2 linked regions of the Mus musculus genome follow. The protein of the gene in region 2 purifies or fractionates together with the protein of the main gene of each other region. This does not show direct contact. Links are inferred from orthologs where the notes say so. Each region holds a gene or a part of one and is shown on either strand. Other genes may lie near its edges. The genes, in order: Psmb4 and Psmb10.

Region 1 (4,262 bases), on a different chromosome or scaffold from region 2:
AAACCATGTCAAAGCCAGGGCCTTTAATCCCAGCACTTGGGAGGCAGGCGGATTTCTGAGTTTGAGGCCAGCCTGGTCTACAAAGTGAGTTCCAGGACAGCCAAGACTATACAGAGAAACCCTGTCTTGAAAAACCAAAAAAAAAAAAAAAAAAAGGAAAATAATTGAGAAAGACAACCTCTGGGCACACACATTAAGACTTAAATGGTTCTCTCCAGGAAAGGAAACAGCACGGACATGGTACAAAGCAGTACTTGGTAGCTGAGGTCTCAATGTGACCATGTTAGAATAAACACTGAATTGCCAGCTATGCCAGAAGCTTTTACCTCTAGCTTTTGGGAGGCAGATTTCTGCGTTCCAGGCAAGCCTGGGCTACATAAATCCTGTTTCAAAACACAAAATCCAACTCAGCGAACACTTCAAACGACTGATTTATTTTACAAAAGTCTGCCTTTGAGCCAGCTACAGTCACGTTTAGAAGAGCAAAGCTTCAACACTCTGGACATTCAACTGGATTTCATTCAAAGCCACTAAAGAAAGAAGAAACATTTAGGGAAAATGAAGGCGGATAAAGGCATCAACTTCTGAAGGAGCTCCCCATTTCCAAGACCACCCACCTGGAGAGTTCCCCCGCCCCCAACCTGGAGAGGTTCCCTCCAAAACCACCCACACAGAGTTTCTGCTTGAACCCTCCAGAAGAGCCATTCTGTAAAAGTCAAGAGCTTCCCTGTGTCACCGATCCCTACTGTAGCTTGCTCACCTGATCATGTGAGCGATGTCCCAGTTGGTCTGTGCGGACAGCGGTCCTTCTATCTCGACACCCTTTTCAGTCACAGTGGCAATTTGAAACTGAAAGAAGGCAAAGCGTGCAATGATAGCGTCTCACTATGTAAACCAAGCTCGCCTCAAATGCAGAGTCCCACCCACCCCTGTTTCCCTACTGGGATTAAAGGCATGTGCCACCATGCCTGGCTCCAGAATTTGTACCTTCCAGCCCATTTCTCACCCGGTTATACGAACGGGCATCTCTGTAGTACAGCACTCTCATGCAGCGCTCCACAAGCTCCCGAGCCTCAGTCTGACTCAGCACTGGCTGCTTCTCTAGAACTTCTCGAAGCAGAGGCTACACAGGCGGGCAAAACATTGGAGAAATTAGACTGGCTTAACAGAAGGCAACCTACTCTAACCCATGTAAACAGGCACCAAAGTGGATGAGTTTTCTACCCACTGTTTCAAAAGAATTAGGTGCTGGCTTTGTTTGTTTGACATTGAATTCTTTTGTATGGGTATGTGCACATGCACGCAGAAGTGAGAAAACAGCTCTTAGGTGCTGGTTGTCTCCTCCACCATGGTGACCCCAGGCTGCCTGTCAGCCTTGGAAAGTGACTTAACCCAAGGAGTCTTTGTTTTGTGTTTGAAATAGTCTTGCTATGCAGCCTACATACATGCAGTCTTGCTATGCATGGTCCTCCTGGCCTCAGCCTCCTGTGCACTAATATTACAGATATGTGCCACCATGCCCAGCTAAGACTCTCTTAAAAGTGGGGAAGCCTAGGGCTGCCACTGTTTCCATTCCAAGGCTGTTTCTTGTCACTGGAAGTTAATGTAAACGTATTCTCCTTAGACAAAGAAAACCAGCTGCCCAACGTTAGGATTCCAGCCTCTCTTATCAAAATTCCAAGGGAAAGAGATTAACATTGCCTTCTCATTTCTATTTCTCTTCTCCCCATCGCTAGGCCCACTACTTACCTGAGCCAAGTATGCACCATAACCAGTGGCCAGTGAAGGGGCTTCATAAGCTACACCAAGCATGTCCACATAACCGAGGAAGCTAGAGGGACAAACACATCAAAGAACTGATCTAATCTTCCATTTCTTAGCTGTGTCCATTAGGTCTGAATTAAAAGATGGAAATTCTCTGGGGTCAAAGTGCCTGAGGGTGGGGAAGCAGGATAGCTCGGTGGTGAGGGCACTTGCCAGCATGCCCGATGACCCAAGTTTGATCTCTAGAATCCACAATGCAGAAGATGCATGCACACACAAACACACACACAGTACTACACAAGCACAAATACCAAAAGAAGTGTAAAGAACCATTCTGTTTAAAGACTGAAGAGACACTACATAGGTGCTAGGTTAGGCGGTCAAGGAAGTTATCAAATACCTTTCTCCGTCAGCATAGCCTCCAATGACCATGGTGTTCCACAGGGGATTCATCTTGGAGCGGCGGCTGTACATGGCTCTTGTCAACCATGAATGAATAGCTCTAGGGCTATAGCTGTGTCCATCTCCCAACAGCTCTTCATCAATCCTTAAATACAATTGAGAAAGCAATGATAACAGGTCAGGCTCCCCATCCCACTCCCTGTTCTACACACAATTCTACAATCCAAGACCACCCCCCCCAATACCAAAAAGTATTCCAAACATTCACAAATGTCTCAACAATTACCCAAAGTCTCAAGTCCCTCCATCCCGCCTACAGGAATAATAAACGGAAGGCTGTCCGCTCCACTTGGAGGCGACTTACACCATCTGGCCGAGAACTTGTTTCAAATACTGGAAATCAGCGTAGTCTCCCGAGGCACCCAGCATAGTGCTGTCGTTGACTCGCATAATACGAGAGATATTGCGGAAACGAGCCAGGGAGCCGTAGGAGCCCAGCATGTCTGCAGCAATCACCACTCCGCCGTCGAACTTCACCCCGAGTACCGATGTCCCGGTCACCATGGGGTTCCTGAATCGTGAAAAGGGTCCCTGAGCGCGAGGCCGGAGCCCCGATTGCTGGCGCCCGCGCATCAGAGGTCCCCGCATCCCGGCCCGCCGCCCATTCCCGGCGCGGTGAGAGCGCGACTCACTGGGTCCGAGTGATGGGACCCTCGCAGGGCGCCGACGCCGGGTCCATGAGGCCGCTGGGGGTGGCCGGGATGCGGTAAAACTGCCCTGGAGCCGGACCCCCGGCCCAGTGGCCAGCCCGTGACTCCCAAAACGCTTCCATCTTAGTCACCTCAGCCGACAGAAATGAAAGCGCTAGCGTCACCGGAAACGGAAGTGGTCCTTTGCCACGCCTCTCTTCTTCCTGCCTGCCTCTTCCATGGGTCAGGACTCCGGCTCTGTATTTATAAAGCCGTTTGAGGAGTCCTGGTCCAGAGTAGCCGCCAAGACTGACAGAAATGCACAAGGCCGCATCCCCGTATCCCACTGCAGTAGGGATGCCTAGATCCCAGTATTCTGACAATTCAGGAGGAGCAGGCCGTGTGGGACAAGCACCAGGACCTGTTACCATGTGCTTTTTGGATCAATATCAAAAACAAGGCTTGAAGAATCACTGGACCCAAGCTCTCTTACTGTTTTACTTCTCAGAGCCGGCCAATAGAGCAGGCATTATCAACTTATTTGATAGATAAGAAGCCGAAGCATAAGATACAGTGGTTTACCCCGTTACAGTCAATAAAAGGTAGAAAAGATACAAACCAAGGGGAGAGATGGCCCACGTTTATAGCACTGGGGTTCGAATCTAAGCACCCACGGGGTGGCTGACAATCACCTGTAACTCCTCTTCTAGCCCTGAGGGCACCAGGCACTTATGTGGTGAACAAGGGGGGGTGGGGGGGAGAGAAGAGGGAGAAAGAGAAAAATCTTAGTATTCAGAAGGCTGGAACAGAAGGAATGCCTCCAGTACAAGACCATTCTGGACTACACTCAGAGTCCAGGACAACCTGAACTACTGAGAGATCTTGTATTAAAAGAAAAAAGAATCCACAGTGAACTAGAGGCAGTGGAGGAATTCCCCTGCCCCCTCAAGATAGCATACAAAACAATAGGTTTCATTACAGCCTTTTCATCCTAGATGTCGTTTTACTCTACCCTCACTGGTGCCCATCTCAGTGCCTTCCCTGTCTTCCTGCTTCCTCCTCCCTGTCTAAGAAGACCCTTCGTGCTTCCACTGACACGTGTTCTATTACCTTCTAATCCTTCACCCGGGTCCCTAAAGAGCCTTTTCCTTATGAGCACCTTTCTACTTTCCTGACCTAATACACACATACAAACACACCTAGATTCCACATATGAGAGAATATTGATGTTGAAGTTCTGACCCAGAACAATTGGCTGAGGTGCATATTTAACATATTCAAGTCGACATAGCCTCCAGGTTCTCCCAGCATCCCTCAGTCCCTACCTGGCACAACCCACCCTTTACTCTGAACTTTTCCAGCCCAGGGGCCAGGATTCCCCTCCCCACAGAGGCTCTTTCCTATATA
Region 2 (4,594 bases):
CTCCTAAGGTCCCAGGGTAGCTGGTGGAAAAAGGTGGTTACTGATAAGAAAGGGAAAGGCTAACAGTGGGGATTGTCCATCGGGGTCTTCCAAGACAGGGTACTGGTGGGGTAAGTTTCTACCATATGGAACTATGGTTTGGGGATGACAGGATATAGCTTTCTACCCCAAAGCTTATAGTCCTGGGCTTCTGCACGGATAGATCCCTGAGGTGAGGAGGAGGAGGACCTCAGGCCAAGAACTGGGTCTGTCGTCCTTAGGTGAATACCTCAGCCACAAAACTCCTACAGATGCTTGGCTCACTCCTCTCAAGAAAGACACAGCCTTCTGTTTAAGTGTTTGTGTTTCCCGGATTTATTCACCCTCATTCCAAACTCTACATCTCAGGCCACTTCATTCCACCTCCATGGCCTGCACAGTTTCCTCAAGAAGTTCCAGGGTCAGGGGTCTCACTTCCCGGGTCAGGACAGGTGTGGTTCCAGGAGCAAATCGGTAACGGCCAGCTCTAGAAGGGAGGAGGGCCAGCCTTTTAGAATGCAGCCTGTCCATGCACACGTGTGAACACACACAGAGCCCTCCCTTCCTGTGCTCTTACCTCTGCACAGGCTCGGTGGGGGTGCTCAATGCTCTCTGCAGCTTGGCACCCCCTGCAGTGATCACACAGGCATCCACATTGCCCCCAGAGCCCAGGTCACTCAGGATCCCTGCTGTGATGGCTTCCACCAACAGCTCTTGCGCAGCCTCCAGCTGGGTAGTGGAAATGAGGTTAAATGGACCTAGTGTTACCACACTCTAACCAGGGGACTTGTTAATCTTGAAGTCTAGACAATTTGCTCTTTATGTAAGCTCAACCTCCTTTCTCTCCATCCATTGAAAATTCCAGTCCCTTGGCTTCTGACCCCCTCTCCTCCAAAACTGTGTGCCCTCCACTCACTGTCCTCTGTACAAACTTCTCAGTGTTGCTTACATGTACCCCCCCCCAAGTTGTCTTCCCACCCAGTCTGTCACGTGTTTCTCTCTGGGCCTTAGTTATCTCTGAAGCACATAGTCACTTACTTCTATCCCACTCCCAAGTCCAATCTCAAACATCATTTACCTCTTCCTTCAGTAATGATCCGTTGTGAGCTTCTGCTTCTCTCTGTGGTCTAAGCTTGGTTCCTGACTGGCCCTCCCATCTTCAACTTTACTCAGTCCCTACTCAGTTGTCCCCTTCACACCTACAAGCCTTTCTTATTTCTATACTTGGCTAGGGTTTTTCAGCACTCCCCGCCAGTGAGCATGAAGAAGTCGCTCACCGTCATGTTTGGCTGGAACCGGTCTTCCAACAGTGCCACGGCTGCACCCTGACCAGAGCCTGCAGGTGGGAAGGGGCATCCGAAGTCAGTTGTTAGCTGCGGAGGTACAAACCTTGAAGGTGGGGTTGCAGGAGCAGGATTCGTGTGATTTAAAGGGTGGAAGAGCTCACCAAGGGCAGTAAAGGGCAGACGGCTGTAGGAACCATGTGGGTGCACCTCGTAGAGCTGAGGTCCGTTCAAATCAACCCCGCCCACGACCAGTGATGCCCCCACGTGGCCTTGGTACCTGTGGAGGAGCAGGCAGGGTTAATGTTAGCAGACAGGCCCCGCCCATTACACTGCCTTTTGGTCTGAGTCCCACCCCTTCCTTTGGCCTGGCGTCCTGCAATTGACGCTGCCTCTTCCGGAACTCAGCTTGGTCTGTCTTCTTCCGGTCTCCCTGCAGGTCGCAGCCCCGCTCCCCCCCACTCCACGTCCCGCCTCCTGTCAACTCCACCCACCTGCAGATACCCCGTTTAGGGGTCATCTTAGCCCCACTTGCTCACCGGAAAAGCGTCTGGCGCAGGATACGGGTGACCGTGGCCACCCGAGGCTCACGGCCGGTGGACAGCGCATGTAGTTCCATCTTGGAAGCTGCCATCCGCGTAGTCATCTCAGTGTCCGCAGCTACTCCAGCCCCACAGCAGCTAAGGGACAAAGGGATGGTGGATGTGGACAGGGACGTGCAGGGACAAAGTAGGGAGTGAGCGACAGTGCAGCTTATGTTTGAATATGGGGACTGGTCCGGGGCATACTGACTAGATTTTAGGGGCGATGAAGTGGATCTTCTCGCAGCTTTTGTCCGCCACAACCGAATCGTTAGTGGCCCGCGTGTCCGCTCCCAGGATGACTCCATCCTGCAGAGGCAGAGCCCAGCCTTAATGCCCACCTGATCTCCGCAGTGGCTGCCCTTCTAGCCCTCCAGCCCTTATCACCCCGCTTACTCGGAACACAAGCCCCGCGATGGTAGTCCCGGTCTTGCGTGCATGAGGAACCCGAAGTCCCGGAAGGACGTGTTCCAAGGACGCATTCCTGGAAACATTGGGGTGACTCGCGTTTCAGTTCTGCATCAAGGGAGGGTCCCTGAACCGGTCCCCAAACCCATTTCTACTCATCTCCTGGCTTAAGCCCCTACTTGGTCACCCAACATAGGGTTCCCCCACTCCACCAATAAAACAAGGCACCAGCAGTTCGTGACTAGAACTCCACTCCCCTTTCACCTCTGGCAGTTCTCGAAAGAGAAGCCTCCTGTGGGTTCCACTGCCTGCTTCAGCATCTCGCAGGAAGGCCAAGTGAGAATGCGGGGGTCTCGATGAGTGGATCAGCCAGGGGGAGCAGAGGCGTCTGTCCTGGCTTCTGTGGGGTTTTTCCGGACGCTTCCTACTTTCGCTTTCACCCCCACCCTAGTTCAGAGGCTGTTGGCTGCTGTGTGCATCTTCTCTTTCACTTTCGTCTTTGCTGCTAGTCCCAGATAACTTGAGGAAGGGGCTATTACACTCCTTGCCAGACCTATGGTGCGCCTTAGATCCTCCATTCCCATCTCTGCTGACACCCCCTGAGCACTGCAGGCACATACATGTATTCAGGTAAAACACTCACACACATAACCCCTTAAAAGTAAGTAGAAATGAAGCCCTTGCAGGCTTAGTTATGTGTGTGAGTGAATGTGGTATGTGCATGCCACATGCCCACCAAGGTCAGAAGAGGGCATCAGATTCCCTGGAACTGAAGTTACAGATGATCATGAGCCACCATGTGGGCGTGCCACCACGTGGGCGTTGGGAACCAAACTCAGGTCCTCTCCAAGTGCAAAAAAATGCTCTTAACTTCTGAGTGCTTGCTCTCTCTCTCTCTCTAATGTCTCACATTAAATCTTCTTTAGATGAACTGTCTTTTCTTCAGATCCTAAACTTTTTTTTTGGGGGGGGGGGGCGCTTGAAAAACTGTTTTTCAGTGTAGTTGAGTGTAGCCCTGTCTGCCCTGGAATAAGCTCTGTAGACAAGGTTGGCCTGGATGAGAAGATTAAAGGCATGTGTACCACCACGTGGCCCTAATTTTTTAATTTTTTTATGGCTTATTTTATGTGCGTTGGTGTTTTGCCTGCATGTCTGTGTGAGGTGTCAGCTCCCCTAAAACTGGAGTTACAGACACTTGTGAGCAGCCATGTGGGTGCTGGGTATTGAACCAGGGTCCTCTGGAAAAACAGCTTCTTTCAACAGACGCTGAGCCATCTCTCTAGCCCCATTTATTTGTTTGTTTTTTCGAGACAGGTTTTCTCTGTATAGCTCCGGCTGTCATGGAATCCAAGTTCTTACATTAACAATCCCCAGCCCCAATATCTTAAATTCTATTTATTTGTTTGTGTTTTGGGGACAGAATCTCTGTGGTCTTGGCTGTCCTGGAACTGTGTGTATCAGAGTGGCCTACAGAGATCTGCCTGCCTCTGCCTCCCAAGTGTTGAGTTGAAGGCGTGCACCACCATGCTTTATTATAAATTTCTGTATCCAACCAGAACTCAAAAGTCGACTTCAAATCCTATTTCTCTGTGTCCCCATTCTAACAGCCATATACCCAGATCTGAATATTGTCCTGGGCCCCTAAGAAGGAAGCCACAGAGCAAGCTTCCTGAGCAGCTCAACTAGGACAATGAAAATCTATTTACATATCTCAAAGTCAGTCCAGTCTGGGGCCTTAGCAAAGCCCACTGAACCCCGTGTTCCCCTAAGCCCAGATCAAGCATGCATCAGCCAGGTGATGCAGGTTATCTAAGGAACCTAGTAGTGCCTTCCCCTTAACCCATAACAAACACCCTGCACTTATTTATAACAGCTAGGTCTTTATTCAGGGGGTGGGGGACTTGGGCTGGCAGCTGGCGACTTAGGAGTGCGGTAGGCACCCAGTAGGATGGCATTGATATGCTCCAGTGTCTTATTGCTGAAGACCATGTTGAGGTGATCTGTCTCGTTCATGGGCAGCAAATGTACGGGCTGCGACTGGCGGCCCTGCCACTGGCCACAGAGCTCAGTGCTGCGGGTGGCTACGGTGTCGTCCCCATCTTCATAGAGTGCAGCCACGGGGTCTTTGTAGGGGAAGTTGTGGTCATAGATGTAGGTGTGGGGTGTGGGTCTGCCCACACCGTAGAGACAATATACTTCTACACCAGGTGCGGGGAGGCGCTCCAGTAGGTCACGAGACTGAAGAAACATGTGCCAGCCTTCTTCAAAATGCAGATCTGTGAAAAAACGCTCAAAGTCTTGGAC

Evidence for each region.
Region 1: the proteins of Psmb10 (region 2) and Psmb4 fractionate together in Homo sapiens (co-fractionation; 4 studies listed by BioGRID and IntAct, with this or other methods). This does not show direct contact. The link is inferred for Mus musculus from reciprocal best matches to the Homo sapiens genes PSMB10 and PSMB4.

The regions. Positions count from the first base shown.
Region 1 is NC_000069.6:94,883,911-94,888,172, forward strand, and holds Psmb4 (proteasome subunit beta type-4), read right to left. Parts: upstream 3,049-4,262; 5' UTR 2,999-3,048; coding exon 2,859-2,998; intron 2,738-2,858; coding exon 2,531-2,737; intron 2,312-2,530; coding exon 2,165-2,311; intron 1,832-2,164; coding exon 1,750-1,831; intron 1,124-1,749; coding exon 1,007-1,123; intron 850-1,006; coding exon 761-849; intron 531-760; coding exon 518-530; 3' UTR 414-517; downstream 1-413. UniProt on the Homo sapiens protein: Non-catalytic component of the 20S core proteasome complex involved in the proteolytic degradation of most intracellular proteins. This complex plays numerous essential roles within the cell by associating with different regulatory particles.
Region 2 is NC_000074.6:105,935,401-105,939,994, forward strand, and holds Psmb10 (proteasome subunit beta type-10), read right to left. Parts: upstream 2,993-4,594; 5' UTR 2,611-2,992; coding exon 2,555-2,610; intron 2,367-2,554; coding exon 2,279-2,366; intron 2,192-2,278; coding exon 2,094-2,191; intron 1,982-2,093; coding exon 1,841-1,981; intron 1,582-1,840; coding exon 1,466-1,581; intron 1,355-1,465; coding exon 1,296-1,354; intron 748-1,295; coding exon 596-747; intron 506-595; coding exon 394-505; 3' UTR 328-393; downstream 1-327. Other genes in the region: Lcat (phosphatidylcholine-sterol acyltransferase precursor), read right to left, coding at 4,172-4,594. UniProt on the Homo sapiens protein: The proteasome is a multicatalytic proteinase complex which is characterized by its ability to cleave peptides with Arg, Phe, Tyr, Leu, and Glu adjacent to the leaving group at neutral or slightly basic pH.